3 linked regions of the Ovis aries genome follow. The protein of the gene in region 3 interacts with the protein of the main gene of each other region in a pairwise test. Links are inferred from orthologs where the notes say so. Each region holds a gene or a part of one and is shown on either strand. Other genes may lie near its edges.

Region 1 (10,249 bases), on a different chromosome or scaffold from region 3:
CCAGCAGATGCAGCCTTCAATGATAAGTCCCTTCAATATGAAGGGATCTCAAGTTTACCAAGGTCCTTTTCAGCTAGCTATGACAAAAAGCCAGAATTCCAAGGGGCTTCTCTATTTTAATACAGAAGGAGTTATGTTGATGTGACTCGATGTTGTGGCAAGCAGCCTTCATGGCCAGAAGGAAAAAAACAATCTCTCAACTTGATGCTTAAACAGGAAAAAGAATCCTTATATGACATTCACTCTTCCCTGGCTGTTTTAGGAGGCTATATAGAACTGCATAACCTTTTCATACACCTCACTCCCACTCGTACATGAATACCTGCTGCTGAAGCTTTCAGACTTACTTTTTGCAAAGAGCTGAGAGATGGTTTTTCTGGTATCTTCTGACCCCTCATATTCCTTCTCTGCAAGCTGCTTGTTGGCCGTCTCCAGACGCTCTGTGGAATTTGGAGACAATCAACAGGGCCCTGAGGACAAACTTCCAAGCACGAGCTATTTGCCCTCTAAATACTGATCTTGAGCAAAACAAGCCTGTCTCTTCTTATTACACAAGAAGGGGTGACACAGACAAAGGTTTGCAAACGTGGATCCCAAAACAACACTAGACCATGACGGGAAAGTAGGAGGCAAGTACTTTAACACTTTCAGTCCTCACTGACAAAACCTAAGTCCAAATTTCTAGATTCCGTCCAAGAAATCTGTCCCTGAATATATGATATTTTTCATTCACTGGGAAAAAAAGAGCACCAGAGTTATTATAAAATGTTTAAATTTAAATCTTTATAAAATCTTTAAAGCCAGAAAGGAAGACAAGTAGCATAGACTATGGGGGCAGGCCAACTGGGTCCAGGAGACCTGAGAGGAATACCGTCTGATTTACATATCAGTTCATCCCCCTTTAATTAAGAAAGCTTAGGACCAGACACGACTGTAGTCGCAAAAACCTAGCCTGTCTATGCTCTGCAACTTGCTGACCATCCCAGTGGGCTGGACAAGACCTAGAAGCCTCACCATGTGTTCCTTAGCTTAGCCCTTCCCTTCACCATCCTTTCTTAGTAAAACTGAAGCATAGTTTACAGTGTTGTGTTAATTTCTGCTATACAGCAAAGTGATTCTGAGATATATCTATATCTATATACACATTCTTTTTTATATTCTTTTCACTGAAGTTTATCAAAGGGACTTTTTTTGTTGACTGCTAGAGGTACTGGTAGGCTCTGACATCCCTTTCTATCATAGGATATTGAATATAATTCTCTGTGCTATACAGTAGGACCTTGTTGTTTACAGTAGGACCTTGTTGTTCCCTTCAACCTCTTGACTGATGCCTTTCAGTGATTCTCTCACCTCTCAGATCCCTGTTGAAGTCATGCATTCTCCGAATCTCGCCCTCAAGCTTGTTTCTCATAGCTTTCTCCAGGGCCTCTCTTTTGGAGGATGACTTGACAAGGTTCTCATATGCCTCTGAGACTCGCTGGATTTCTGTCTCCACCTGAACAACAAAAATGAAAGACAGTGATGATGGTAGGAAGTGGATGGGGGAAGAAGATCTGAAAACATATATGCAAATCCTTAATGACAACTTCTCCCAGGGATTTATGGATGGCCAGGAGGCAATCATAACACAGTCAGATAAGAAAAGTTTCCTGAAAAAATTTCTAAGTTCAACCTCAAGCTCAGTAATTAACTCACCAGTCCCCAAGATTTCCTTAGGTTAAAAACAAATATGTTTATCTGTCTTCAGAGAAGGTTGTAGGAGAGGATAAATTTCATAAGTATAGTTACAAATGATTTTCCTTTCCTTTCTTAATTTAGAAAACAATAATAATGTATATAGTTACTGCAAAGCATTCAAAGGGTTTTTATATGTTTATTTCGATCTGGGCTGATATTGGCCTACACAAGATACCTCTCCCCCATTTTAGGAAAGAGAAGACTGAGATGGCCTTTTACTAGAAGGCAGAGACGGAGATGAAAACTAAAAACCCTAAGACTTAGCCTCATTAGTTAGTTCAGTTCAATTTAACAAACATTTACCAGGGGCCAAAAATTACTGGAACTCTTTAAAACACTGTGGGGTGTGTAAATATGAATAAGGACATTACAGCTGCCCTCAAGAAGCTTTCAATCTAATCAAGTAAAAGAATACCAGGAGAAATATGTTATTAAGAAAAGTTGGAGTAGTGTTATAAATTGTAGAGGAGAAAGAGGTTGTTCCTATTTGGGGGTGAAGGGAGAGGAGGATTTCAGGGAGGAGGTGGTATTTACAGTCAGATCCTGAAAGCTGGGTTAAATTTCAATGAGCAGAGGTGAGGGGAAGGGTATTCTATTCTAAGTGAGTGAATGCATTCCCAGAATGACCAGTAGTCTAATTTGGCTGGACACTGTGGGGTACACAGGGAGAAGCTGGTAAGATCTGGCTGCAAAGATAGATTGGAGTCAGATCATAAAAGGGCTTTAATGCCAGGCATTTGGACTTTATCCCATAGTCAATGGGACACCGTAACAGATTTTTTAACAGAAATTCATGATTGGAGTTGTGTTTTATGACACTCCAGCAAATCTTGTAAAAGGTAAACACACACATACACACACAATGTATACACACACACAACCTCAAAGAGAAAGGATCCCGCCCTGAATTAGCCCGAATTGGGAAGAAAATAAGAAATCTGACTCTAGAGTCTCTGTGGAACCAGTAGAGCTTCACTGTACATGTCACAACCACAGAGATATTTGCATATGATTTGTATAAGACAAGTAAACCCCACTGCCTATTAAGTAATTTTCAAGTTAAATCTGACTCCTGCAACCATTCTGCATTCCTTCTCAGCTTTTCACTATCCTCCTTAACAAAGCTCAGGCTACTTTAGGGGGAGAAATATTAGCACCCCTCCCCCCGCCCAGTGAGAGACTCAGGGAAAGGTGGGGTTACCAAACAACTCCGATTGTACCTGCCCCAGCTCCAGCATGATGCCTGAGGCGGGACTGCCTGCAAACAAATGAAGCTTACATCACAGAAAAGAGCAGACTTGAGAATGCTTTTTTCCTTGCAGATGGTACCAAGATAGCAGCACAGAAGGTGAAAACTGGTGAATGGCATTTAGAGACAAGATCTGCAAGGCCTGAGCCCAATAAAGCTTTTGCATGAAATTCAAGTGCTTGGTAGAGAAAATAAACATTTCTATTTGAAAGAGCAGGCTCGGTGCTGGTCTGCTCTGGGCTGTCTTCAGAGTACAAGGTTTTCTAGTGCCCCACGGAGTGCCACACCTGGAAGGCAGTCCCCTTTGTTTATGTTTTTATGGAAGTATATTTGGTGTACAATACTGTAGAAGTTATAGGTGTACAATATAGTGATTCCCTATTTTTAAAGGTTATACTCCACTTATATAAAATATGGGCTATATTCCTCATGAAGTGAAAGTTGCTCAGTCCAGTCTGATTCTTTGTGACCCCCTGGACTATACAGTCCATGGAATTCTCCAGGCCAGAATACTGGAGTGGGTAGCCGTTTCCTCCTCCAGGGAATCTTCCCAACCCAGGGATCGAACCCAGATCTCCCACACTGCAGGTGGATTATTAACCATCTGAGCCATCAGGGAAGCCCAAGAATACTAGAGCGGGTAGCCTAACCCTTCTCCAGTGATCTTCCCAACCCAGGAATTGAATGAGGTCTCCTGCATTGCAGGTGGATTATTTACAAGCTGAGCTACCAGGGAAGCTGGCGATGTGTAATATATCCTTATAGCTTATTTTATACCTAATAGTTTGTGCCTCTTACTCCCCTCCCCCTATGTTGCTCCTCCCTCTTTCCCTCTCCCCACTGGTTATCACTAGTTTGTTCTCTGTATCTCTGAGTCTGCTTCTTTTTTGTTATATTCACTAGTTTGATGTATTTTTTTGATTCCTCATATAAGTGATATCATTCAGTATTTTTTTTCTGACTTATTTCACTTTTCATAATACCCTCCAGGTCCATCCATGTTGTTGCAAATGGCAGAATTTCATTCTCTTTATGCCTGAGCAGTATTCCATCTTCTTTATTCATTTATCTGTTGATGGACACTTAGGTTGCTTCCATATCTTGGCTATCGTACACAATGCTGTTATGAACACTGGGGTGCATGCATCTTCTTGAATGTTTTGTTTTTTCAGATACACATCCAGGAATGGAACTGCTGAGTCATATGATAGTTCTATTTTTAGTTTTTTGGGAAACCTCCATACTGTTTTCCATAGTGGCTACATCAATTTACCTTCCCTTCCTACTGGCAGTGTATAAGGGTTCCTTTTATTCCGCATCCTCATGGAAGGCAGCCCCTTTACTCAAGTTGTTCAGAGTACTATTTCAAGACATTGTACCAATCCTTTCCCAATACCATTTGTAGATACTGCCCCCACTAAAAGGGCAAGTTGTACATCTGTCAACAGGAAAAGGAGACACAGAAGGGCATATCCATCGGTTTGGTCTGTGGTGGGAGGTGAGGGGAGAGAGAGGATGGTGGTGGGTTTCCAGGTTGATTCTATCTACTTATTCCCCTCATGAGCCTCAGGCCTTCTTATTTTTCCCAGCACCAGCTGACATCTACCTTATTCCCCTCATTTGTCCTCTTCTAACCCACCTGTGCCTCTAACCCACTGCAGTGTTGGGTCAGCTTTCACTTCTCCCAGCACTCAAGCTGTCCCAGTTGCACTTGGTTGAGGCATCTTTCCCAATATTGGAGAACAAAACAACCCAGACTCTTCTGCTCCACCTCCCTGCCACCCATCTTCCCCCTCATTAAAAAAAAAAAAATCACTATCCTCTAGAAAAGAGAGTCTGTAGAAGATCTGGGTTCACCCTTTATTTACTATATCAAAGATGGGGCCAGGGCCACCACAAATAAGAGTTTAGGGAGCATTGTCAACTGTTAAACCTAATCAGCCGAACTGGACCAGTCTGCTTATAGTGTGTGAGTACCAATGTGATGGGACAGGGGCAGGTATGAGAGAAGAGGGAAAATTTTAAATTGGGGGCAAAGCCAGTAAGAAACATTTCTCACTCAACAACCCCCATCCATCCAGACTTGGGAACATTAGGCGCGGTAAAGGCATTTTTTTTGTTCCGTAAAAATACTTAGCTGATAATAAGCCCTCCTCTCCTTTAGGACTCAGATCTGGTGTTTACACAGTGTTAGCTTCATTCAGGCCCCTGAAATTTCCACTGTTGGGTGTCTCCTGAGGACAGAGTTACTGAACAATACCAGGCAACCTCCCTTCCCTCCTCCACCTTCATCCTCACATCCCTGAGCAGTCTGCATTGTCTGGGAGATCAAACCAAAGGAGCTCCACAATGACAGAAGTTGCAAAGAGGCTGCCAAAGGCAGAACCCTATTCACCACCAGCCACAGGAAGCTAAGAGCTAAGGTTCCTAGCTTAGGGCACTCAAGACCTAAAGTCCCAGCTGCAAAAGACTCAGGAGGGGCCCAGGGAAGAATGTGAACTTGGGACATACACTTCTTTTGCTACTTCCTTAGCCTCGGGCTGTCACATGTCACCCATCTGTGGTGTGCTAAACCCCTCCTGCTCCCCACACACACCAGAGGAGAGCAGATGTTTCATTTGAGCTAAGGGAAGGACCAACACAAGAAGGGGGGAAAGTAAAGGGCATTGAAAAAGTTACAATGAAAACTACCACTTGGAAAAGTACTCTAGGCCCTTTCCACAACAAGGCAGGTCAGGATCTAACTTCAATGATGAGATTTTTCTGGGAACTATGGATTTATAGTTAAGATTCAAATTCAGTACTTTGTATTTGGAAAAATGCAATCAAAAGGAAAAGTCTTTATGCTGGCAGGTACTTCTCCAAAAGAGCCCTCTCCAGTGTTCTTGACCTTCTGAAGCAGTTTCCCTGCCTTTTGTAATTCTCAAACACTCAGTTAAGCTTTCTTGGGGGCTATGGTTTCTGTGAAATGTTACTTCTAGAGAGGCAGAAGGTTTTTCTAAAGTTTGCTCCATCTAACCTTCAGATATAAGAATCCTGAAGACCCGCCCATATGTCATACAGGGACCCACAAGTGGACACTTTTATATCAATATTAAACAAATAAGATTTCAAAAAGACTCAAATAGCCCCATACGGAGGTCTCACCTTTTGCAGTCTCGCCACCTTCTCATAGCATCCTTCTAACTCCTGCCGCAAGTTCCGGTTCTCATCTGAGAGAATCTCAACCATCTGCTGGGCTCTGGAAACAATGGCAAAAGGGTCGGCTGGCATTGGCTGATATGAAGCAGACGACTGCTGAGCTCGTGGCATAGCGGAATAGCCTTCTCCTGGCTGCTGCTGCTGCTGGTGATGGTGGTGATGGTGTGACTGTGGCTGCTGTTGACTCAGGCCAGGCTGGGGGAGACGGTAATGATCCCCCTGGTGAGCCTGGTTAGGAAGGAAATGCTGCTGTGGCCTAGGCAGGTGAGCCGAGTGGTCTCCTTGGCTGGGGACCAAGGGGTGTTGGGCAGGAGACAATCTAGTAGATGGTGGAGACTGCAGCAAGGGCAAGGAACCCCCAGATGTGAGGGAAGAAGTAGGGCTGTGAGGCTGAGAGTTCCGGGCTGACAAAGGCAATGAGATGTCCTGTGTTGGCCTGGAAAACACGGAGGGTGTACTCAGGTTAAACTCCCACTTGAAGGCACAAGAAAGGGAGATGTGGAGGCTTCTGGGCCCCCAGAACAGGTGCAAAATGAGGAGCAGGCAGGGTTGGACTACAAGGTCTCTCCCAAGACCTCTCCAGTCCCTTCCACACCTGGCCTCCTCTCAATACCTGACCCACAGAGGTGTGATCCTATGGAGGACAGATCAGATGATCTCAAAGGTTGCTTTGTGAAAATCAAAGTAATGCATCCTTATACACTTGTTTCTCAAGTCTAAGCATTTCAAATGCGCCTTTGACAACGTAATTGTCACCTCATGATTTTAAACTAAGCTTTTTCTGGCATCCTGTATATGGCCCTGCACACAGAAAGAGTCACAGAAAGTTCGTTCCACTTGCCCAGAAGGAAAGAGCAAACCGTCATCAAATCTACCCCTCATCTTGTTATCTGCAACTCTCTTTGATAATTCATATAGTCAGAAAAAACTACCTGAGGATATACAGGTACTTACTATATTAGAGACACCAAATAATTATTGTTGATGAGAGTTGTTAATAACTGAATGATGTTTTTTAGCAGCAATAATTCCAAGAGTTGGAAGGGATTATAAGTAACACTATCATACAATTTTGATGTACTGAATCACAAAATGTAACGACTGGAAAGGCCTTAAATAAATTATGTAGTCCAAGTCTGTCAGTGGACAGAGGGGGAAACTGAGGTCCAGAGAGGAGAAGTATTCTGCCAAATATTATAGAATGAGTTAGAAGCAGTGCCAGGGTAGAAGAAGCTAAATGCCATTTTCAGGTTCTTTCCACTACTATTAAATAAAATGCACTGATTTGTAGTGATGTTCAGATTCCCAATCTATTACTTATAGAAAGTTCCAGAAAGAGAACTTTGGCACATGGTTTAATGTGACTTTTCCATTTTGGTACCTAATACTGGACTATGAGCCATTAATGGAAACAGTGTATGCAAATTGATTATTTCCACCATTGCCACAACCAGGAAGAATATGTCAGTATACACCAAACACACACACAAAATGTTCACCTCCCTGCCCCTGCCCAGTTAACCTAATATACTCCCACATCCAGTGGATGCCTGTCCTACAGTTGTTATTTCTCAATCCAGGGAAGACAGATGGCTAAGAGCACAGGATTTGGATCCCAACAGAGTTTGGAGACCTTTCCTACTGCTTACTAGCTGTGTAACCTTGCTCAAGTTACTTCATCTGCATGAGCCTATTTTGCTCCCGAGGTCACAAAAGAATTACTAAAATATTGGGCTCTTCTCAGTGTTGAATTACAAACAGTCACATATCTACCTCCCAATGAGAATGGTTGACCCTGTTAGTGATTTTACTTATGGGATATCCACTTAATCTTTGCACTACATTGCATAAAATTTGTGGCGAAACTGGGACAAATCATCAGGAGCAATTAACTTTTAACTGGCATTCCTGATGCTAAAGCACATTCCCTCCCACACATAACTCCAGTTATCATTACTGTTTATTTATCTATCACTACAAGAGATCCTTACTATGACGGATTTTTACCACTACAAAACCATTCCAAACACTTGCTCACACATACCCAATAACCCAGATGTTCACCAGAGCCCTCAAACCTATTCAAGTTGAAGGTTGTTGCTCAGCCCCATCAGTGGCTCTGGTGTACCCACATTCTTCCAATTTCATGTATCTGTCACTATAAATAATTGCTGAATACTGAAGTGGGCAAACTACTTGTGGACAGAAGAATTTACATGGTTTTCATGATGACGACTGGAAAGTTGCTACCCTACATAACCCTTATGTCTGAGAGTTCAAAGCACTTATGCAATCAGAAGCATGGGAGCTGTTTATAAACTTATGTGGGGGGAGTCTGTCTCCATTTTTCACACTGTGGATCTTTAGTTTCCTCAGAGGTTAAATGGACTATGTACTCTCCTTCCACTTTGAGTAAGAGCTATTATAAATTGGGTTGGCCAAAAAGTTCATTTGAGTTTTTCAAAACATCTTACAGAAAAGCCTGAATGAACTTTTTGGCCAACCCGAGTTAAACTATGGCATCCTGGGATCTGTTAGGGCTTATGTCTCAGGCAGAAAAGAGGGGCTGAAATTTCATGTTCTCTAATCCAGTCCTCAAATTTTAAGGGGAAAATGACAATATTAACGTTCATCCTCATTGCCAGGATGTGTAAACCCAAGGCCTGGGAGGTGTTCTCTTTTAAAGACTGAATGCCCAGCTGTGAACTGGGCTTCCTCCCCTCAGCTCCCCTGGGTCCTACCAGCAACCTAGACCTCTCTCTCAAACAGACCAGCCACTGACCTCTCTCCCACCTGTAGACCGAAAGGCCTCCCCATGCCCTGGACAGAACATGGCCTTGCAGGGGCCTTGTGGAAGGGGTGACCACACGTGCCTGGAAGGAGGCTCCAGAGTTGGATAAGCCCAGAATGGCAGTGGCCATGGCCACGACTGTGGGCTGTGCCTAGAGATAAATGGAGAAGCGGCAGCTGCCTTTCACATTTCCCAGGCTGGAAAAGGAAGCAGATTTCCGTGCACCATGATGTTGGGAAAACTGAGGCAGTCCGACCCTGGCAGGTTTGCAAACACGAAGCAAGGCTTGGGCAGTCGTAAAAGAAGAGAAAGCCCTCCAGCCAACGAACTCCATCTGGATCTCAGCATCCGCCCACCATGAAAAAGCAGAACAGTATTAATGCTTGTGTGAATTCCCCCCTGAGAGAAGGGGACTGAGGAACGACGGGTGTGGGAGAGAGCTGGGGGAAATGTCAGAGGAAGCAAACCTACACTCAAGATAGAGTAATTGTAATAATGGTAATAAGGGTGTCAGCTGGGTGAGTGACACTCTCCCCAGCTCCTTCCACTGACATATTAACCAGGAACAACAAGGCGCGTGCAGACAACAGAATCACATGATCCCATGGAAGCCCTGACCTGCCTCCCTGCCTCTTCCCTCCCTTTGTCCTTCTCCTTCCTAAGACAACCTGGGCCTCCGGTTCTCTGTGGAAAAGAAGACCTGACAGACATGCGGGACAGAAGCCAGGGACCAAAATCAGCATTTCCCCGAAGCCAGGGAAAAGTCCCACCCAGAGACAGCTTGTGAGGACACAAACGGAAAGCAATCGAGTTGACACTGCAACTTATACCCTGCCCCCTCACTGACTGGAGCCCCTACTCTTCCCAGACACATGTCACCCCAACCCCCCACCCCAGCCCCCAATGCACGCAAGACAGTCCTAGCCTACACGTATGCATGCTCCCCCATACACCCTCTCACCAGATCAGGTGCCAACAGCCTGGAACCCAATTTATTCTCCCCACAGAAACTGCCTTTCCCAGGCTCTGTGATGGTCACTCTCTGAAGCCTGGAGAGAGCTGCAAATTCCTGATTGTTTCTCTTGCACAACCAACTCCGCTCTAAGCTACAGAGTTAGGTCACCCTTAGATTCCACTAAACAAGGATTTCAAGAAACCTCAGATCTGGGCACGATGTCAACAACTGAAAGGAGGTGGCTGCTTTACAAACAGAAAGGATTTGATTTTTAAAAGCAGTTGATAAATGCATAAACCCCGGCTGCAGAAAAGGC
Region 2 (10,865 bases), on a different chromosome or scaffold from region 3:
TTTATATAAAAAAGTAGCAATAATAAATAATTTAAAGTAATAATGATTGTTCATAATCCTCTTAAAGGAGTGATTTAATTTTTGGCGGTTTAAGTTCCACTTGCCAGTGGTGTTCATAATTTTGTACTCCATTATTTTCACTTGTCATTGTGATCAGAATAGAATTCTATTGTCTTTGTAGTTATCATTTTAAAGAACATCTGAATTCAAGGACAATGCTGTAAATCATTAAACAATTCTGAAGTTAGACATTCTGGCTATCTTGTTATCTGAGGTTTTGTTTTTTCTCATTATCTAAAATGGTACCATGTACATTCTTTTTTTTTTTTTGCCTCTGCTGAATTTGGTCTACAAAATGAATTTCTGAAACACCAGTTCCAGGGTTCAAAGAGTTCCTTAACTGAACAGCTAACTGTACTGCTGTCCAAAAGGTTGTTAATTTTTCAACTAAAATCGATTTTTCTTTTTCCTTTCATTTTCTCTCTTTTTAAAAGATCAAGTGTGTTTTAATTATCGTGTTCTTATATTTGGTTCATTTTTTTAATGGTTTTAATCATCTCTGATGTTCTCTCCATGAAGTAAAACATAGGGGTATTAAATAAAATATTTTGTATTTAATTTGTAGGAATCAAGACCATCCCCAAGAAAAAGAAATGCAAAAAAGCAAAATGGCTGTCTGAGGAGCCTTACAAAGAGCCGTGAAAAGAAGAGAAGCAAAAAGAAAAGGAGAAAAGGAAAGATACAAGTGTCTGAATGCAGAGTTCCAAAGAATAGCAAGGAGAGATAAGAAAGCCTTCCTCAGTGATCAGTGCAAAGAAATAGAGGAAAACAACAGAATGGAAAAGACTAGAGATCTCTTCAAGAAAATTAGAGACACCAAGGGAACATTTCATGCAAAGATGGGCTCGATAAAGGACAGAAATGGTATGGACCTTACAGAAGCAGAAGGTATCAAGAAGAGGTGACAAGAATACACAGAAGAACTGTACAAAAAAGATTTTCATGACCAAGATAATCACGATGGGGTGATCACTCACCTAGAGCCAGACATCCTGGAATGTGAAGTCAAGTGGGCCTTAAGAAGCATCACTACGAATAAAGCTAGTGGAGGTGATGGAATTGCAGTTGAGCTATTTCAAATGCTCAAAGATGATGCTGTGAAAGTGCTGCACTCAATATGGCAGCAAATTTGGAAAACTCAGGAGTGGTCACAGGACTGGAAAAGGTCAGTTTTCATTCCACTCCCTAAGAAAGGCAATGCCAAAGAATGCTCAGACTACTACACAATTGCACTCATCTCACACGCTAGTAGAGTAATGCTCAAAATTCTCCAAGCCAGGCTCAGCAATACGTGAACTGTGAACTTTCAGATGTTCAAGCTGGTTTTAGAAAAGGCAGAGGAACCAGAGATCAAATTGCCAACATCCGCTGGATCATCAAAAAAGCAAGAGGGTTCCAGAAAAACATGTATTTCTGCTTTATTGGCTACGCCAAAGCCTTTGACTGTGTGGATCACAACCAACTGTGGAAAATTCTGAAAGAGATGGGAGTACCAGACCACCTGACCTGCCTCTTAAGAACCGTGTATGCAGGTCAGGAAGCAACAGTTAGAACTGGACATGGACCAACAGACTGGTTCCAATTAGGAAAAGGAGTACGTCAAGTCTGTATATTGTCACCCTGCTTATTTAACTTCAATGCAGAGTACATCATGAGAAATGCTGGGCTGGAAGAAGCACAAGCTGGAATCAAGATTGCTGGGAGAATTATCAATAATGTCAGATACGCAGATGACACCACCCTTATGGCAGAAAGTGAAGAGGAACTCAAAAGCCTCTTGATGAAAGTGAAAGAGGAGAGTGAAAAAGTTGGCTTAAAGCTCAACATTCAGAAAACGAAGATCATGGCAGCTGGTCCCATCACTTCATGGGAAATAGATGGGAAACAGTGGAAACAGTGTCAGACTTTATTTTGGGGGGCTCCAAAATCACTGCAGATGGTGATTGCAGCCATGACATTAAAAGACGCTTACTCCTTGGAAGGAAAGTTATGACCAACCTAGATAGCATATTGAAAAGCAGAGACATTACTTTGCCAACAAAGGTCCATCTAGTCAAGGTTATGGTTTTTCCAGTGGTCGTGTATGGATGTGAGAGTTGGACAGTGAAGAAAGCTGAGCGCTGAAGAATTGATGCTTTTGAACTGTGGTGTTGGAGAAGACTCCTGAGACTCCCTTGGACTGCAAGGAGATCCAACCAATCCATTCTAAAGGAGATCAGTCTTGGGTATTCATTGGAAGGACTGATGCTGAAGCTGAAACTCCCAATACTTTGGCCACCTCATGCGAAGAGTTGACTCATTGGAAAAGACCCTGATGCTGGGAGGAACTGGGGGCAGGAGGAGAAGGGGACGACAGAGGATGAGATGGCTGGATGGCATCACCAACTCGATGGACATGAGTTTGGGTGAACTCTGGGAATTGGTGATGGACAGGGAGGCCTGGCGTGCTGCAATGCATGGGGTCGCAAAGAGTCGGACACGACTGAGCGACTGAACTGAACTGAACTGCACTGGAGGCAGATTGGTGGTACTCACTGTGGTCCACAGACTGGTGCCACTTCGTGAAATATTACTTTCAGGTTCAGGATGAGTAGAGAATTTGAGAGTTAGGTATTTTTAAAACTGTTACAGCATTTGTCAGAGTACTTTTATAAATACTGTGCTATACTGTGCGTAGTCGATCAGTCGTATCCAACTCTTTGCGACCCCATGGACTGTAGCCTGCAGAGCTCTTCTGTCTATGGGGGATTCTGCAGGCAAGAATACTGAAGTGGATTGCCATTATAAATACTAGTTACAACCAAAAAATATGTCTTCTTGTAATTTTTATATTTTTTATACTTTTTCAAGGAATTTATTTTTAATGTAAGTTGTAAAAGCATCAATTTGTGATAGATTGCAAATAATTAAAAATGGTTCTTCCCTACTGATCATTTGCGAAGCACTGGGGTAAATAATGGAGATTCTGTTCACTAACTTGAACAGGCAGCTGATGGTTGCCTAGCTGCCAGAGCAGATAGGTTTTGTTTTGCTTCGTGTTTTATGAATAACACAAATCTCAATTTTGTGGTGGCCCATCAACTATTTCTGAAAGGCCAGATGTCTTCTGATGTAATGTGCAGGGGGAATTTAAAGACTCCAATGGACAGAGAAACTGTATGGGGATCCATCAGGGATATCCCACCCATGCACAAGGTCCCTGACAGGCTCTAGAAAAGTCTTTCACTAGGTTATGAGGGATAAAGTATACTGCAAGTGATAGGATTTTTCTAAAGCTCTTTACTAGCTAGTTACTCTATATGTGGCACTAAAAAACTCTAAGGCACTGAAATTGAAATGGGATCTCTGATTCTGGGAAGTGGTGTTGGGCTGACCCTGAGTGAAAACAGCATCACATTTCCAGAAGCAAAATGCTTTTTTCACTGGTGGCCATATTCATCAAATCTCTAGAGACACATCATGCACAGATTTACAACTTTAAAAAAATCATGGGCTCCCAACAATAAACCTGTAAACAACTGTGGCACCCTGCAGTTTCTACCGCTGCAGGTAGCTGTGGCTACCTGAGGCTACCACTGTGGCCCCTAGCTGCTCTAACTGTAGCGGCTGGAAGACAAAGTTACTTTGTCAGCTGCCTTTGCAGTAGTCATGTGATAGGGAAGGCCCACACAGCAGGAGACGGGAGTTGGACTCCCTGTCCCGGGGATCCCCTGCAGCAGGACATGGCAACCCACTCCAGTATTCTTTCCTGGGAAATCCCATGAACAGAGGAGCCTGTGGGCTATGGCCCATCGGGTCACCAAGAGTTGGGCCCCAACGTGTGGCTTCTGGGGATCTTAGTTTCCCCACCAGGGTTTAACCCTGGCCCACAGCAGTGAGAGCATCGAGTCCTAACCACTGGACCACCAAGGAATTCCTATATGAGGACTTTTAGAAGCCTTCTGCTTTTTCTGTTAAAAGAAACAGAGACAGTTGGCATTCACCTTGAAGTCGGAAGGGGAATGTTAAGAGAATCACAGAAGAGGTCAATGCAGACCTCTTACATTGTTCAGTTCCTGAGCCAGCTACCTACTTTCTGATTTATTGTTGTGGAAGAGAAAATAGATGTCTGTTGTGTGTGCCATTGGTAACTGAGTTTCCTGTTACTTGCAGCCAAAAGCGTTGTGAACTGATGTAGAAACTCATTTGGATTTATTTAATTTACATTGGGTTGAATCATGTGAAATTAGTGTTTTCTGTGGGTCAGATGATTGTCAGTATCGCATCATTCAACCCAAATAACTGTTAACTCTCTAGATCTGTAGATGCGTATCGGTTAGTATGCTTATGACAGCAAATACCAAAACTCGTAACTTAGTGAATTAGGGAAGGAGATGGATTGGCTCATGGAAGAAAACCTAGTTGCTTTTTTTTTCTCTCTCTCTCTTTTCGCTCAGTCATGTCCGACTCTTTGCGACCCCATGGACTGTAGCCTGCCAGGCTCCTCTGTCCATGGGATTTCCCAGAAAAGAATACTGGAGTGGGTTGCCGTGTCCTACTCCAGGGGATCGCCCCGACAGGGAGTCGAGCTCGCGTCTCCTGCTTTGGCAGGAGGTTTCTTCATCGCTGAGCTACCACAGAAGTCCAGTTCATACATATACACAAGAATAAATTCCAGGTTATATTGATGACTTAAATTTTAAAAACAAAACACCAGTAAGACTATTCGAGGCTTGAGGAAAACTTTTCCCAAGTTAAAACCCTGGTTGCCCCGGCTCTCATTCCGCCTTTTCCATTGGGCCTCTGGAGCTACGTCATGGGATAATTAGCCAATGAGAATTGGGCATGGGCGGCAGGCTCAGCCAATGGGACCCGGGCGGGAGATTTGAAAGGACCTCGGCGGGGGTGAGGAGGCGCGGCCGGACGGATTCAGTTGTTGCCAGCGGTCAAGGCACCACGGGTTTCTTTCGGGATTCTTGCTCCGGGAGAGGCCAGGTGATCCGGCAGGTTGGTTGCTCTAGGGTGGAGAAAGGGTCCTGGAAGGGAGTGAGGCCGGTAGCAGGGTGGGGGCGGAGAGGCGAGTGCGGGGATGCGCTCTGATGAAGCCAGCTTTTGGACTTGCTCCCTTTCACCAGCAACTCGCCCCCCCCCCCACCCCAGGCAAACACTTCCGGCTAGATCGATCCGACCCCTCACTCTCTCTCCTTTTTTTTTGTTTTTGCTTCTCACGGCTCTATTTCTCTTCTCTGCCCAGTTCCTTCCCCCTTTCCCTCTACGGATGGCCCAGAAGGAGAACGCCTACCCCTGGCCCTATGGCCGGCAGACGGTAAGGGCTTTCTCACTTCCCCTCTCCCCATCAGCATGGCGACTTCCTGCTTGCAGATTCGAGATCCTGCAGAGGGCGATCCTCTTAGCACTTTTCTTCTGGCTTTGCACCAGCGCATGGGCCCCAGTCAGGTCATTTGTAGCCTCATCCTATCTGGTGCTGCCAGTTTGAATTTGACCAGCCTGTGAGGACCTCTGCAGAGCTGAGCCTACTTGTCACATACAAATGGCGTCTGGGACTGAGCAGGCAGGGTCTAGCCTATTAGGCCATGAATCTCAACTGTTGTCCTGAAAAAATAGGCTAGGCAGGAAATAGATATAAGCTATTTAGATGAGTTTATAACTTTAAAAGGTCCAAGAGAAGTCTTACTTAAGAATTTGGATTTTAATGACCGGTGTGACATATGCGTCTAAAAAGCTTTATTTTCCAGTTGTCCTAACACCTTTCATTGAAGAATCTACCCTCTGATTTGAAATGCTAGCGTTATTGTATATATTAAATTCCCATATATATGTGGATCTATTTCTGGACTCCATTTTGTTCAACTTGCTTATTTGTAAATCCTAAATTCGCTGTTTGTGAACAAGTCTGTAGGAGCACTGAGGCTCTCTCTTGGTTAAAGAAGAAAGAAGGGGCCCTACATGAGCTTTGTTCTCTGTTAGTGGGGCTTGAGTATCCTGGAGGGTCCCTCTATCCCCTTGTCCACCAGCTCCCTCCCCGGTGAAGCTCTGAATGGGGAGGCTGAATGAGATGACACTGTCATGTCTACACCAGTCACTCCCAGAAGAAAGTGGTGTGTTACTCAGAAGTTGACAGTGACAGTGCTCCAGGACAATTAGAATAGCCTTCACTTTCCCTAAAGCCTGTTGTTGCAAAGCGGTAAATACTGAGATTTGCTGAACACTCAAGGCCCCAAGGATCTTATCTGAGCCTTAACAGACCAAGCTTAGGGAACTGTGAGAATACCTCTGTTCTGAAGCTCCTTGAATTGTGGGTGTTCATTACCCCAGCCTCTACTGCCCTTTGGGGTAGGGGGCTAGGTAAATGAGTGGTGTTATGGACAAGACTGAGTAGCAAAATTGTGGCCTCATTGTTCCTCTTTGAACTGGGGATGGGGTGGGGTAGGTGGGTGGCTTTATAGCAAGCCCTGAAATGCTGCTTGTAGCGCATTCCAACCCGGTCACTGGGATAAAGGCACCCTCAGAGCTCCCCTCTGGTCCTTCTCAGGCTCAGCCTGGCCTGAACACCCTGCCCCAGAGAGTTCTCCGGAAGGAGGCTGTCATCCCATCGGCGCTTGTCCTCATGAGTCGCTCCAATGCCCAGCCCACAGGTAAACTAGCACAAAGGGAGGGGACTGACCTGAGGGAACTAGGGTCTGCAGAGGGTGGGTGGGGATGAAAATGTCAAAGGATGGCCTCAACTTCCCTGTTCTTTCCTTAGCTGCCCCTGGCCAGAAGGTGGTGGAGAACAGCAGTGGGACCCTCAACATCCCAAAGTAAGCTCCCCAAGCTTTGAGGTAGCAAGGGACGGGGTGGAATAAAGGCAGGAGGAGGAGGGATGCAGGTGAGAAAGCCTGATCCATCCTCAGCTCCCCTGGAAGAGAAGCAGGATTGCAGGCAGGAGGGGCAGAGGTCCAGAAAGAAGGCAAACACCTCAGAGGACCAACTAACCACTGCTCAGCTGCTCCACCACTGCTTCCCAAACAGGCGTTCCTTCACAATCGATGACTTTGAGATTGGGCGTCCTCTGGGCAAAGGCAAGTTTGGAAATGTGTACTTGGCTCGGGAGAAGAAAAGCCATTTCATCGTGGCACTCAAAGTCCTCTTCAAGTCTCAGATCGAGAAGGAGGGTGTGGAGCACCAGCTGCGTAGAGAGATCGAAATCCAAGCCCATCTCCAGTACGCTCAACGTCCCCTGAGCCAGAGCCCCTGCCGCCCCAACCCCACTCCTCCTCCAACCCCACCACATCTAGACTGTCTTCTCTGTAGCTGTGGCCACGCAGCCCCAATGAGCTCTCAATCCCAGCCAGAGCCTTGAATCCAGAAAATCACCTCCGGTCCCCAATTAGGACTGCCAACTGGCTTCCCCTACCTGGCCCAGACCTGACCCAGTTTGCCCCAATGCGACCTGTCATCTTTCCCATTTCCTTAGGCCAGAATGCAGCCTGATGCCTCCTCTGTCTCCTCTCCCAGACATCCCAACATCTTGCGTCTCTACAACTATTTCTATGACCGGCGAAGGATCTACTTGATTCTGGAGTATGCCCCCCAGGGGGAGCTCTACAAGGAGCTGCAGAAGAGCCGAACTTTTGATGAGCAGCGAACAGCCACGGTCGGGGCGGGTGGGCACCTGGGGCACTGGCAGGGGCCTGGAGGCTGGGGGATGCCATTTGCCGCCTGAGGTCAGTCCTCTTCTGACTGTCTGCCATTGGCCCCCCAGATCATGGAGGAGCTGGCAGATGCTCTGACGTACTGCCATGCAAAGAAGGTGATTCACAGAGACATCAAGCCAGAGAATCTGCTCTTGGGGCTCCGGGGTGAGCTGAAGATTGCTGACTTTGGCTGGTCGGTGCATGCCCCCTCCCTGAGGTATGGTGGGCCAGAAGGCCAGCCCTGGGTATGAAGCCATTCAAAATAAAACCACTTCAGATCTTGTTACCCAGAGACATTTTGGGTTGTTCTCATGTAAATATATAGACACAGCAATATCTTTACAAAAATAGGAGACTTTGGGAGTTCCCTGCTGGTCCAGTGGTTAGGACTCCAGCTTTCACTGCAGGGGGCCCAGGTTCAATCCCTGGTCGAGGGAACTAAGATCCTGCAAACCGTGCAGCGTGGCCAAAAACAAAAATAGGAGTCTCAGTTTTGTCACTCAGATTTCTCACTTGAAACAATGGGACCTTCTTGCCATATCACTGAGAATACTCCCACATCATTTTTAGTGGCTTCATAGTATTGCACAGTAGAAATGTAATGTGATTAAGCAACATGTGATTGATGAACATCTGAAATTCTTCCTATAATTCTAAGGTGAACGTTGCCCTCATATCTGATTTATTTTAAGGTACGGCCCTCAGTGTGGAAATGCAGAGTCAGTGTGCTAGCCCCACTCCTACCCCAAAGACCCCATCAGAGCCTGGTTGGAAGACCCCTGGCACATCCTGTGGTCGGTCTGGGCTCCCTGTCAGGCTGCAGGGAAAGGAGGGAAAGTCTGGATCTGAGATCCCTGCCCACTCCCCCTCTTCCCCCGCCCCACCCCAGGAGGAAGACAATGTGCGGCACTCTGGACTACCTGCCCCCAGAGATGATTGAGGGGCGCACGCACAATGAGAAGGTGGACCTGTGGTGCATCGGCGTGCTTTGCTACGAGCTGCTGGTGGGAAACCCGCCCTTCGAGAGTGCTTCCCACAATGAGACGTACCGGCGCATTGTCAAGGTGGGAGGCTGGCCCCCGGGGTCTGGCTGGAGTTTGTGCCAGCTCAGGGGCTGGGGCAGGGAGTGGGCACACTGTTGCTGTTGATGTTAAACCCTGCTAATAGAGTGGGAAGTGGAGGCAAAAGCAGCTAGGATGAAGCCTGTCTCTCCTTCTTGCAGGTGGACCTAAAGTTCCCTCCTTCTGTGCCCATGGGAGCCCAGGACCTCATCTCCAAGCTGCTCAAGCATAACCCCTCAGAACGCCTGCCGCTGGCCCAGGTCTCTGCCCACCCTTGGGTCCGAGCCCACTCTCGCAGGGTGCTGCCTCCCTCTGCCCCTCAGTCTGTCCCCTGAAATGTCCCTGTCCTTTTCTCAGTTGTGTCTGTGTCTGTATATGTGTAGCCAGGAGGAGGGGGGTCCCAAGTCTGTTTCTGCATCTGTCTTCTACCTCCTCTTTATTTAATAAAGGCTGAAGCTTTTTGTACTGATGAGTGTAGATGTTTACATGTGGAGACTGCTGTGAAGGAAGTCATCACCCATGGGGAGGAGGCGAGGGAGTTGCCCATGCTGGGCAGTGGGGTGGGCACTGCATCATCACCCCTGGGAACACCCCTCAGCACTGAGAGCAACCTCTCAGCTCTAACCTCATCTGGTCAGCTCCCAACCATCCTACTTCCACATCTTTCCTTTCCCCTGCTCTGGCTCCCAGGCCTGGGGATGCTGGGGACCTGGCTCTACTCTGCTATGCCTGCACATCAGCCATCACCAACCATCTCCACCCACCTTCTATTACTCCCTCTTAGTTGACCTCTAATCTTTCCCTTTCCTGGGTCAGTCTTGCTGACCTAGGAGCAATTAAAGTTGTCTTCTTGTTTTGTTTTTCTGCTCTGGTGAGGATTTAGCACAGGAGTAAATAGAAGCTGATGGTGTCTTGTTCCTGACCTATGGGAAACTTGTTCCCATAGTTTCACTGCTATGTATGATGCTTGCAATATGGTGCCTCCTATAGGTTTTGTTCTTTTGTTTTGGCCACCCAGAGCAGCATGCACGATCTTGAGTTTCCCTGACCAGGGACAAACCCATTCCCCTTGCAGTGGAAGCTTGGAGTCCTAACCACTGGACTGTCAGGGAAATCTCTTGCTATAAGTTCTTGATACATGTCTTTTATTAGGTTAAGGAAGGCCTGGGCTCTTCCTAGTTCATTAAGGGTTGGGTGTTTTTTGAAGCATGAATAGGTGTTGAGTTTCACCTAGTGCTTTTTCTGCATGTTTATTTTTTGTACTCTTAAGCCATGTGGTGTAGAACATCAATAAAGTTTCTTATTTTTATTTCATCTCAGATACTCGGGCTATATTCAATTCCTAGGGCTACTGTAACAAATTACCACAAACCTGGGTGGTTTTAAACAGCAGAAATGGATTCTCTGACAGTTCTGGAGGCCAGAAGTCCATGATCAAGGTGTCAGTAGCACCACCTTCCCATATATGCCTCTAGGGGAAAATCCTTCCTTGCCTTTTCCATCTTCATGTGACTCCAGGCACTTCATGGCTTGTGGCTACATCACTCCAAGCTCTGCTTCTGTCTTCACACAGCCTTCCTTTCTTTGCCTTTCTCTCCTCTGTCTTAAAAGAACACTAGCAATTTGATTTATGGCTCACCTAGATAATCCAGGATAATGTTATTCACAATCTGTAATTATATCTGCAAAGACCCTTTTTCCAAAAAACACTGCATTCATTGCTTCCAGAGGTTAAGACACTGACATATCTTTTAGGGGGCTACCATGCAACCCACTACATATGCGCACAGATTAAAATAATTGAAGGACAGTATAGGGCTTAAGAAAACGAAAAACCAACAGTCTTCCCATTTCTCTCTCCCCAGAGACAAATCCTTTTACAGTTTTGCTTTGTTTTTGGTATTTACTTTGTATCTCCAAATCACATGCTTCTGTCACTACCTCTTTACATTTTCAGTTTTAGGCTTTATCTATCATTTTCCTGATACAAAATGTAAGTATTTCATTCTTTCACTCCACTGCCACCAGAAACAAGGGCGTTTTCTGTCCCTACATCCTTCTGGTGTAG
Region 3 (10,791 bases):
TGGTTCTATTTTTAGTTGTTTACAGACCCTCCATACTGTTTTCCACATTGGCTACACCAATTTACATCCCCACTGACAGTGTACGAGGGTTCTCTTTTCTCTACATCCTTGCCAACATTTGTTATTTGTGGTCTTTTTGATGATAGCCATTCTGACAGGTGTGTCCATGTTATTTTCTTAAAGGTTGTTGAGTAATTCGGGGAAGAGCCTGATTCGAGTCTGAAACCAGGGCAGGGGCAAAACAGTGAGGGATGTAGGTAGGAAGGGCTGCTTTTTCTCATCAGTAGAAAGGACTTGAAAATCAACTGAATATATTTGCAGAGGGCAAGGGAGGGAGGCGTTCAGAGTTTTAACTAAAACGGTAGGGCTGCTTAGCCTGATGAGAAGTGTAGGAGGAAGAGTTGTGGTGCAGGGGAAGGGTGTAATTATCCCATCCCTCGGCTTCTCAAAGTACTCTGTTTATCTCTTTATTACACTACATTTTTAGCACCAGTGCTGTGTGTCACACTTGTGGCTGTCTCCGTCTCCCCAGAGGGCGGCAACCCTGACTGATTTCACTCCGTCTGGATTCTCAGCAACTGACCCAGAAGAGCAGTCGCTAGGTTGGAGCTATCGGCACTGTCACACCTCTCAGCTCACATCATAGCAAGAGCTAGCATTCAAGCTCATCTTTTATGTCAGGCGCTGCTAAGTTTTATGTGTATCAGACAGATAATCCTCATCATGGCCCTATGAGGTGAAATTATTAATGAATCATTTAACAGATACAGAAACGAAATCTCAGGAAAGTTAAAGTAAGATGGTCAGGATCACACAGCTCTTAATCCCTACATAAGCATATGAAACTTGGAACAACTTCTGTGAATTCAGTGTGGCAGGAGTATGCAATCCCATATGATAGATGAGGAAAGTAAGGGCCAGAGGGGTGGTTTTCCCAGGGTTACAGAAAGGGAGTACTAAAAATGAGGCTGAAGGACTTCCCTGGTGGTCCAGTGGTTTTGAATCTGCCTGCAAAAGACGTGTTTGATCCCTGGTCTGGGAAGATCCCACATGCTATGGGGCAGCTAAGCCCGTGTGCCACAACTACAGAGCTCAGGCACTACAACTGCTGAAGCCCACACTCTAGAGGCTGTGCTCAGCAACTAGAGTAGGCCCCACTCGCTGCAACTAGAGACAGCCTGCGTGCAGCAACTAAGACCCAGCACAGCCAAAAATTAATAATTTGAAATATACATATATATAATAAAAATGAGCTTGAAACAAGGATAAGATGTCAGCATGGATGGATCTTGAAAGTTAATGCTAACTGAATAAATTAATAAGTAGAAATATATATTAACACAGATAACTGTGGCTCAACTGGTAAATAATCAATCTGCAATGCGGGAGACCTGGGTTTGATTCCTGGGTTGGGAAGATGCCCTGGAGAAGGAAAAGGCTACCGACTCCAGTACTCTAGCTTGGAAAATTCCACGAACTGTATAGTCCATGGGGTTGCAAAGAGTCGGACACGACTGAATGTCTTTCACTACTACACTACTATTTGTGTAAACATTTGTGTACTATGTACATGTATTACATACATAGTGGAAATCGCTCAGTCATGTCCAACTCTTTGTGGCCCCATGGACTGTACCCTGCCAGGCTCCTCTGTCTATGGAATTCTGCAGACCAGGATACTGGAGTGGGTAGCTGTTCCCTTTTCCAGGGAATCTTCCCAACCCAGGGATTGAACCCAGGTCTCCTGCATTGCAGGCAGATTCTTTACCTTCCGAGCCACCAGGGAAGCCCATTACATACATAACATATATATAACACATATGCAAACACATACAACTATTTCTGTAAACATTTGTGTACCGTGAACTACACATTTTTCAAAATATATACGAACAAAAAAAAAACCATTACACATTGTGCACATTAGAGTGGTTGCCTTAGGATAAAGGAGGGTGCTATGGGGCTGTATTAACTCAGGCTGGCATAACAGAGAACCACAGACTAGAAGTCTTAAACAACAGATATATATTTTCTCATAATTCTGGAGATTGGAAGTCCAAGATCAAAATGCCAGCAGAGGCTGTTTCTGGTGAGGCCTCTTTTCTTGGGTTGCAGACAGCCACCTTCTCACTATGTCTTCACATGGCCTTTTCTCTGTGCATGCGCAGAGATTGCTGGTGTCTTTTCTTATAAGGACACCAGATCTATCCAATCAGGGCCCCACCCTCCTGACCTCATTTAACCTTAATTACCTCCTTAAAGGTCTTACTTTCGAATATAGTCATGGGGGTAAGGGCTCCAACACATGAAGGTGGGAGGGGGGACACAACAGGGGCTAAATGGGAAATGAAAAATAGAACCACAAGGAGTGAAGGACAGAAATGGGGTTGAAGCAATAGGCAGGATCCAGACCAAGCAATGGGCTTCCCTGGTGGGTCAGATGGTAAAGAATCTGCCTGCAATGCAGGAGACGTAGGTTCTATCCCTGGGTCGGGAAGATCTCCTGGAGAAGAGAATGGCTACCCACTCCAGTATTCTTGTCAGGAAGATCTCATGGACAGAGGAGCCTGGTGGGCTATAGCCCATGAAGTTGCAGAGTCAGACACGAATGAATGACTAACACACACACGCACACGCACACACACACATAGACCAAACAGTGCTTTATAGGTCATATTAAGGTTCAGAGAGATCATTCAGTTTATAAGTTCTAAAGTTGGGGTGTGTGTGTGTGTGTGTGTGTGTGTGTGTGTGTGTGTGTGCGCGCGCGTGCGCGTGCACATGCACGCCAAGCAGGAGATGCAGGTTCGATCCCTGGGTCAGGACGATCTCCTGGAGAAGGAAATGGCAACCCACTCCAGTATTCTTACCTGGCCTGGACAGAGGAGCCTGGTGGGCTACAGTCATGGAGTTGCAAACAAGTCAGGCACAACTTAGCAACTAAACAACAACAACAGGTGTACATATATATTAATATATATATGTATATATGGTATGTTGTTTACATAAATGATTAGCTCCAAAGCCTGTGTCATCCAAAATCACTGATTCCTGATAAAAAGTCTAAGTGTGTGCGTTTCATCTTACTATGAAAAAAATGGAGTTCAGAGAGGGCAAATGACTTGCCCAAGATCACACAGCAAGTGGTAGAACTGAGGTCTGGGAAGTTCTTTCTGACTCCAAAGACAAGTTCCTTTTACACATTCTGTAGCCTCCCTGCCTTTTCCCTAACTAATTTCAATCACTCACTCTTTCATGCATTCATTCATCTGGTATATTATTTATTGGCACCACGAAGGCCCTGTGCAAGACACCAGGGATGTAAACATTAGGAAGACATAGTTCCTGCCCTCAGAAAGCTCAGCCAGGAGTAGAAGAGACAGCCAGGTAAGCAAAGGTGGGCATTGGAGGGGCTATGAAAGGTGCTGGCGAGTCCAGAGGACGGAAAATGACTCTTCCTTTTGTGGGTGGGGAAGATTTCATAAAGGAGGAAGAACCCTTTGAATCAAACTCTTGAAAGACAGAGTTCACCTGGTGCAGAAGAAGGAAAAGTCCAATATAGACAGAGCCAAGGGTGCTACCCTGGTGACTCAGTGGTAAAGAATCCACCTGTCAGTGCAGGAGACATGGGTTCCATCCCTGATCTGGGAAGATCCCATATGCCAAGGAGTAACTAAGCCTGTGCACCACTACTGAGACTGCTCTAGAGCCCAGGAGCTGCAACTCCTGAAGCCCTTGCGCCTACAGCCTGTGCTTTGCATCAAGAGGAGCCATCGCAATGAGAAGCCTGTACGTCCCAACTAGAGAGAAGCCCTTGCAGCAATTAAGACCCAGCACAGGCAAAAATAAACAAAATCGTAGACAGAGCCAAGGATGTGGGCACTTGCCAAGGGCGAATCAGAGGAGGTGATGAGGTCAGATGCAGGAGGCTTTGGCCAGGACTCTCAGACTTGATTAAGATCACCGGGAAGTCCGTGAAGGGTTTTGAGCAGAGGAGTGCCTTCGCTAGGATTCTGAAGGCAGACTCTCTGGCAGTAAAATCCAAAGACCTGAAGTCCTTTTTTAAGAATCCAGTGCATGAGCTGGGGAGGAAAATAGATAGTCCCTCCTACCCTCAATCTTATTGCTTTTGGTCCACTCAGACCCTTGGAAATTGTTTAAAATTTTATTATTTTTTAATTAGAAGATTATTGTTTTACAATGGTGTGTTGGTTTCTGCCATACCACAGCATGAATCAGTCATAAGTATATATATATATCCCCTCTCTTTTGAGCCTTCTCCCTACCCCACCCCCATCCTACCCCTCGAGGTCATCACAGAGCACCAGGCTGAAACTGTTTTAAACTGTCTTTATCCAAGCCTTCACCTCACTTGCTAGAGAGACCAACCCACTTCCTTCCTCTCTGCTTAAACCCTACCTTCCATCAGGGTGATGGGGCCACAGCGGGGCTTGGAATAAACGTGTAGAAAAAACAGAGGGATTGAGGCTTCCTATCAGGGTGATGGGCAAAAGGACCCAAGAATCGAGAACCAGCTGTTCTCGATCTTGGTTTTCCCCACTCTCTGGGCCAGTTGGAGCATCTCAGATCCTATACTGCCCGCCCCCTTGTTTGCCGCCCTCAACTTCCTGCCCCACCAGAGGAAGTGGGGAGAGCTATCAGGTGCAGCAACAGCTATCGGGGCCATGGTGAGTCCTTACGCCCAGGAATCCAGGCATCTCTCCGTCCCCAGACCCCAGGGTAGCCAGGTCCAGGTCCACCCACAGTAGGCTGACTTCTCCTAGCCTCTGAGATCAGGTCATACTGGGGGACCCTGCCTGCCACCCCCAGCAGCCTCATATCGTCCACCCTCACCAACAGGACAAGGAGTATGTGGGGTTTGCCGCCCTCCCCAACCAGCTGCATCGCAAGTCTGTCAAGAAGGGTTTTGACTTCACACTCATGGTGGCAGGTCTGAGGGTTTTGGAGAGGGGCCTGGTAGGGGGTCCTCAAGAGACCTTGGCTGTCCCCTCACCTGACCAGCTGGGCTTGACCTGTCCACAGGGGAGTCAGGCCTGGGAAAATCTACCCTCATCAACAGCCTATTTCTCACCAACCTCTATGAGGATCGGCAAATACCAGAAGCCAGTGGTAAGATGCCCCTCTCCTCACCACGCTGCCCACGCCCTCTGACCCCTCTCCTCCCAGACTGCACACTCTTCCTTTCCTTCTGGGTCTCCCATGACATTCTGGGGAACTCAGGCAGCTCACTGCTTTTCTCTGAGACTCAGTCTCCTCCCCTGAAAAATGGGTGGGGGGCAACTGTGAGTCTGAGAAAGGAAATTAGTCCTGCTTCAGACCCCTCGCCAGCTCCCTGACCTCTCCCCATCCTCATAGCTCGCTTGACGCAAACCCTGACCATCGAGCGCCGGGGCGTGGAGATCGAGGAGGGGGGTATTAAGGTGAAGCTGACTGTGGTGGACACGCCTGGCTTTGGGGACTCAGTGGACTGTTCAGACTGGTGAGGAATGGGGGAGAGCCCAGGGCTCAGCTTCCCAGTGTGGCTACTCTGAGATCGAGGGGTCGGATTCAGGGCTGGTCTGCCCTGCCCTACTCACGTCCCTGCAACAGCAGGAGCTGTTTCTGGTGGTCTTGGGGCCCAAAACGCCTTGTGTTTCCCAACATCTCACCTGCCAGTTCCCTCTGACATCTTTGGTTGAAGCCAAAGACCCTGCTTCTCACCCCCACAGTCCTGGCTAGCTTTGCCCCCTGCCCTCCACTGCGGTCCAGATCTCTGACTGCCGGCACTCTCCCTGCACCCCCAGCTGGCTGCCTGTGGTGCGCTTCATCGAGGAGCAGTTTGAGCAGTATCTTCGGGATGAGAGTGGCCTGAACCGGAAGAACATCCAGGATTCCCGTGTCCACTGCTGCCTCTACTTCATCTCACCCTTTGGCCGGGGGTCTGTGGGACACCCTAGGGGGTTGGGACATTTGGGGAGGGCGGGGGGCGGGGGGTGGGTCTCTGTGCCCTGAAACTGAGCCCTGATGAATTTCTGGGTGCAGGCTCCGTCCCCTAGATGTGGCCTTCCTCCGGGCGGTGCACGAGAAGGTCAACATCATCCCGGTCATTGGCAAAGCAGATGCCCTGATGCCAAAGGAAACACAGGCCCTCAAACAGAAGGTATGTGTGGTGGCTTCTGACCTTTGGTCTGCACATGAAGCCAAGTCATGACAAAAGCTGAACTCAGCTTTGACTTCTTTGATCTTGGGGTAGCCTTTTCGGAGCGTGATGTGTCAGGCTAGACTGGAAGAAAGTTTTTGAGAAAGGTGGGTCATAAGCTGCCTCAGGAAGCCACATCTCTGGAGGCTCAGAATAGAATCCCTGGGCTGGATGCTTGGCTAAGATCTGTCTGAGGGCAGGAGTATGGACATAACGACCCATGTTATCCGTCTGGCCCCAGGATGCTCACCATGCCCCCATTTCCCCACTTCTTCAGCGCCCTCTCCCACTGTTTCCACTTATGTCTCTCTCTCCTGGTCTTTTGGTGTCTGCTCACCTTCAAAACTTCCCAAACATCAGTCTTTTCCCTCCTAGGGTAAGGTCTCAGTTTTTCATCCTCTATGTCTCTTTCATGGAGAAGGCAATGGCACCCCACTCCAGTACTCTTGCCTGGAAAATCCCATGGATGGAGGAGCCTGGTAGGCTGCAGTCCATGGGGTCGTAAGAGTCGGACACGACTGAGCGACTTCACTTTCACTTTTCACTTTCATGCATTGGAGAAGGAAATGGCAACCCACTCCAGTGTTCTTGCCTAGAGAATCCCAGGGATGGAGGAGCCTGGTGGGCTGCCGTCTATGGGGTTGCACACGACTGAAGCGACTTAGCAGCAGCAGCATGTCTCTTTCATCGTCTGAGATTTTGTTTTCAGTCTTCCTGGATGCCCATCTCTCACCATCTTTGTTTTTCACGCCTTCCTCTCTGTCTCTTTCATCCTGTGTCTGTATCTAGATTTCACTGTCTCTGGTGGCCTTTGTGGCTCACAGCCTCTGTGTTTCTGTCTGCATTTGTCTCCTCCAAGATCCGGGAACAGTTGAAGGAGGAAGAGATCAATATTTACCAGTTCCCCGAATGTGACTCTGATGAGGATGAAGACTTCAAGAGGCAGGATGCGGAGATGAAGGTACAGAGGCAAAACAGGACAAGACTGAGAAGCCAGGGGAGGCGGATGTGGAGGTGGGAGCTGAGAAAGGTTTCTGTCCACGGGAAGGGGAAAGGATGGAGATCGCTGACTCCTCCGCTCTAGGAAAGCATCCCTTTTGCCGTCGTCGGTTCCTGCGAAGTAGTGCGGGATGGCGGGCCCCGACCGGTGAGAGGACGCCACTACTCCTGGGGCACTGTAGAGGGTAAGTTAAGGCCGGGTACGCGTCCTGAGGCCAGCAGGGAGCCCAGGCCGCCTCCCAGCTAACCGTACCCAACATGTGAAGTTGGGGAAAGTTCTGGTCCCAGGGGTCCTAGGAGCCCCAAGAGAGGTCCTTGGGCAGCCCACCCGATCTAAGTTCCCTGACGCTCGCGGGTCCGCCCCCCAGTGGAGAATCCACATCACTGCGATTTCCTGAACCTGCGACGGATGCTCGTGCAGACACACCTGCAGGACCTGAAGGAGGTGACGCACGACCTGCTCTACGAGGGCTACCGGGCCCGCTGCCTACAGAGCCTGGCCCGGCCTGGGGCGCGGGATCGAGCCAGCCGTAGGTGAGAGCCAGCGCGGAGAGTTAGGTGCTTCCAAGGCCCCACCCTCCCTCTCCATGACCTCGACTTCACCTTCTAGACCTCTCTCCCAGGGCCTTTCTTTCCCCATCCCCTTTGCTTACCTCCCTAACCTAAGGATATGGCTCCGCATCTTAGACTCCAAACTAACTCCAGATCCTGTCTTGCAGCGATGACTCAACCAAGGCCCTCGCCTTTGATTCCTTGCCTTCTCTCCCATCCCCTAGTAAGCTTTCCCGCCAAAGCGCCACAGAGATCCCGCTGCCCATGCTGCCTCTGGCAGACACGGAGAAGTTGATTCGCGAGAAAGACGAAGAGGTGAGATTTCCCCCAGACCAAGACTCCCAAGTCCTCTTTGGAGCCCCTCTCTGGCCTCGTCCGGACCCAATGCCTGCAATCTTGCCCCGCACAGCTGCGCCGCATGCAAGAGATGTTGGAGAAGATGCAGGCCCAGATGCAGCTGAGCCAGGCTCAAGGCGAGCAGTCCGACGCTCTCTGAGGCCCCCATCGGGGCTTTCTCTACCTCGCCTCCGCCTTCGGTTCGTCTCTTGTCCAATCCCTGAGCCCCAGGCTGCCAGGCGCCTAATCCCGGAGCCCCAGCCTGTAAGGCCCGCCCTTCAAAGGGGCGGGTTCTCAGGTTCTCCCAATCCTGGAATTTGTAGCCCCGCCTTTGGCTCCGCCCGAGCTCACTTCTGGAGCGCGACCTCCTCTTCCAACCCTGAACACCCGCATCCCCTCCCCACTTCTCCCTATCCGTGACTTCAATAAAAACTGAGTTTCTCTGAGGGCACGCAAGTCTTCTCTTTCCCAGCGGGAATAAGTGCGAGCTTAGCGGGTGGAACCGCTCCACCCAGGCCTCCGGGCCACCATTTATTAATTCATTTGCTGGGCACTCCTTTCGTGCCAGCCGGTGTGTCTGCCCAGCCTCCCACCTGAATCCCATTCACACAAACGCACTGAAGGCGCCGCGGATAAGAAACGAGACCCTTTCAATTTATTAGTCTGGGTGGGGAGATCGGACTGGCAGGAAGGCTTTGACTAGCAGAGGCCGAAAAGGGTCCGCTCTACTCCTGGTCCTTGGCGTCGCCATGCGTGATGACGTAGCAGATGTTCTTGTAATCTACGTTGCCGCCCACGTCGGGGGGGAAGGCAGCCCACATGTTCCTGATCTGTGGAAAACAGGCAGAGTATCACCAACTGGTTCCTTACGTTCCCCTTCCCCCATCCTTCCGCTTCTCCAGACCCCTCCTCCACTCACCTCTTCCTGGGAGAAGCGGTCACACTGCGTGGTCAGCAGCTCCTCCAGGCTGGAGAGAGGTGATTGATATACGGGAGGTTTGAGACTGGACTTCGTGATTCCTTTCCACGCCCTCCCACCTCATCCCCCTTGCCATTCCCAGTCTCATCTTGAAAACCAGGGTCACTCTGGATTCCTCATTGGTCTCCCAAACACTCTGACCTCCCGTTTTGCCCTTCTTCCTGTGTTCCATCGCCCATTTCCACAGTCCTGATTTTTCCCTTATCCCTGTGCTGTGCGGTGCTTAGTCGCTAAGTCGTGTCCGACTCTTTAAGACCGCATGGACTGTAGCCTGCCAGATTCCTCTGAAGAGTTTCTCAAGGGATTCTCCAGGCAAGAATACTGGAATGGGTTACTATGCCCTCCTCCAGGGGTTCTTCCCAACCCAGGGATCAAACCCAGGTCTCCTGCATTGCGCAGGCAGATTCTTTACTGTCTGAGCCACCCTTATCACTGGCAGTGCCTGTTATTGGTGGGAATTGAAAGAGGCTTTCTGTGTGGGAGCAGCTGGAGCGTGTCACTTACAATTGCTTCTTGATGGTGCCTTTTCCCTCAGGGTCTAAGACCTTGAAGGCTCCAGTGATCACATCCTCAGGGTCGGCACCTAGAGGGGGTCAGAGGGCACATGTAGCTGAAAGGTTGCTAAAGGGTCAGTCCCTGAAAGTTCTGAGGAGAGGCAGCTGAGGTGTTGGACCAAGGACACATCATACTTCATTCACCTTTGAGCTTCTCCCCAAACATGGTCAGGAAGACAGTGAAGTTGATGGGCCCACTGGCTTCCTTCATCATGGCGTCTAGCTCCTCATTCTTCACATTGAGACGCCCTGGAACAGGGTTGGGAAAGCAGGGGCTGGAGTGGGGTCTTGCAGCCAGAGAATAATGCTTCCTATAAATTCAGATCATCCCATCCATTTTTATTTTTTTATCCCATCCAATTTTATCCGGGATAGACTGAGTCCCAAGGTGGCCTGGCAGGACTGGGACCCACAGCTGCTGAACTCCCAGGACTCTGCAGCCTTGAATCTTTACAGGTAGAGGAGGCAGCTCACCCATGGCTGCAAAGGTGTCCCGCAGGTCTTCCTTGTCAATAATGCCATCCCGGTTCTGGTCAATTACTGTGAAGGCCTGTGGAGGGCAGAGGCAAGGAGAGATTAGGTCTCCCATGGCCAAGTTTCAGCATCCTTACTCCAGGCAGATCAGATTCTGAGATTCTGGTTGCCAGCCAGAGGTCCTCTTACACTCCAAGCAGGGAGGGGAGTAAGGAATCTAAGCCCTTCTCCTTCCCCCAAACAGGTGCACATTCCAGGGAGGGGTGGGGGGAGGGGCAGCAAGGGGTGCCTTTGGTTAGCCTTCAGTCTCCCTTCTCCCCACACTTACCTCCTTGAACTCCTGGATTTGGGTCTGATCAAACATGGAGAAGACATTGGAGCTTCCGCCCTCTGCCGCTGCCCTTCTCTTGGCCTTCTTGGGTGCCTGAAGGGTGAGGGTTGGGCAGAGGGGTTCGTGGACTCATCCTTACTCCTCTGGAGGTGGTGGATTCTTTAAGTTCATTCTTCTAAAGCAACTCTTCTGGCTCTAGGCTTCCCCTTCCTTACAACTCTTTGCTGAGGGGACTTGTTTCAGTTGGATTGTCAAATTTCTATCTGAAGCCCTCAAGTACCCATCCTTCCACCCTGCCCAACAAGGGAAATGTTTCTTGCCTTCTGAGTGCCCTGAGCCTGGCTCCTCTGAGTCCTAGACTTGCTGT

What was found.
Region 1: the proteins of SEPTIN1 (region 3) and AMOT interact in binary tests that used the Homo sapiens proteins (3 or more experiments, as listed by UniProt). The two-hybrid records come from large-scale screens. The link is inferred for Ovis aries from reciprocal best matches to the Homo sapiens genes SEPTIN1 and AMOT.
Region 2: the proteins of SEPTIN1 (region 3) and AURKB interact in binary tests that used the Homo sapiens proteins (3 or more experiments, as listed by UniProt). The link is inferred for Ovis aries from reciprocal best matches to the Homo sapiens genes SEPTIN1 and AURKB.

The regions. Positions count from the first base shown.
Region 1 is NC_056080.1:121,854,978-121,865,226, reverse strand, and holds part of AMOT (angiomotin), read right to left. Parts: exon of another isoform or gene 9,940-10,249; intron 6,624-9,939; coding exon 6,134-6,623; intron 1,496-6,133; coding exon 1,351-1,495; intron 441-1,350; coding exon 348-440; intron 1-347.
Region 2 is NC_056064.1:27,651,484-27,662,348, reverse strand, and holds AURKB (aurora kinase B), read left to right. Parts: upstream 1-4,954; 5' UTR 4,955-5,046; intron 5,047-5,293; 5' UTR 5,294-5,317; coding exon 5,318-5,365; exon of another isoform or gene 5,366-6,592; coding exon 6,593-6,695; exon of another isoform or gene 6,696-6,805; coding exon 6,806-6,860; exon of another isoform or gene 6,861-7,071; coding exon 7,072-7,263; exon of another isoform or gene 7,264-7,557; coding exon 7,558-7,696; coding exon of another isoform or gene 7,697-7,706; exon of another isoform or gene 7,707-7,804; coding exon 7,805-7,953; exon of another isoform or gene 7,954-8,625; coding exon 8,626-8,800; exon of another isoform or gene 8,801-8,958; coding exon 8,959-9,132; 3' UTR 9,133-9,266; downstream 9,267-10,865. UniProt on the Homo sapiens protein: Serine/threonine-protein kinase component of the chromosomal passenger complex (CPC), a complex that acts as a key regulator of mitosis.
Region 3 is NC_056077.1:27,080,429-27,091,219, reverse strand, and holds SEPTIN1 (septin-1), read left to right. Parts: upstream 1-4,622; 5' UTR 4,623-4,941; coding exon 4,942-4,951; intron 4,952-5,043; coding exon 5,044-5,130; intron 5,131-5,376; coding exon 5,377-5,500; intron 5,501-5,804; coding exon 5,805-5,939; intron 5,940-6,042; coding exon 6,043-6,160; intron 6,161-7,058; coding exon 7,059-7,160; intron 7,161-7,283; coding exon 7,284-7,383; intron 7,384-7,566; coding exon 7,567-7,732; intron 7,733-7,974; coding exon 7,975-8,065; intron 8,066-8,159; coding exon 8,160-8,246; 3' UTR 8,247-8,537; downstream 8,538-10,791. Other genes in the region: MYL11 (myosin regulatory light chain 11), read right to left, coding at 8,812-8,916, 9,006-9,054, 9,570-9,648, 9,764-9,868, 10,094-10,169, 10,422-10,457. UniProt on the Homo sapiens protein: Filament-forming cytoskeletal GTPase. May play a role in cytokinesis.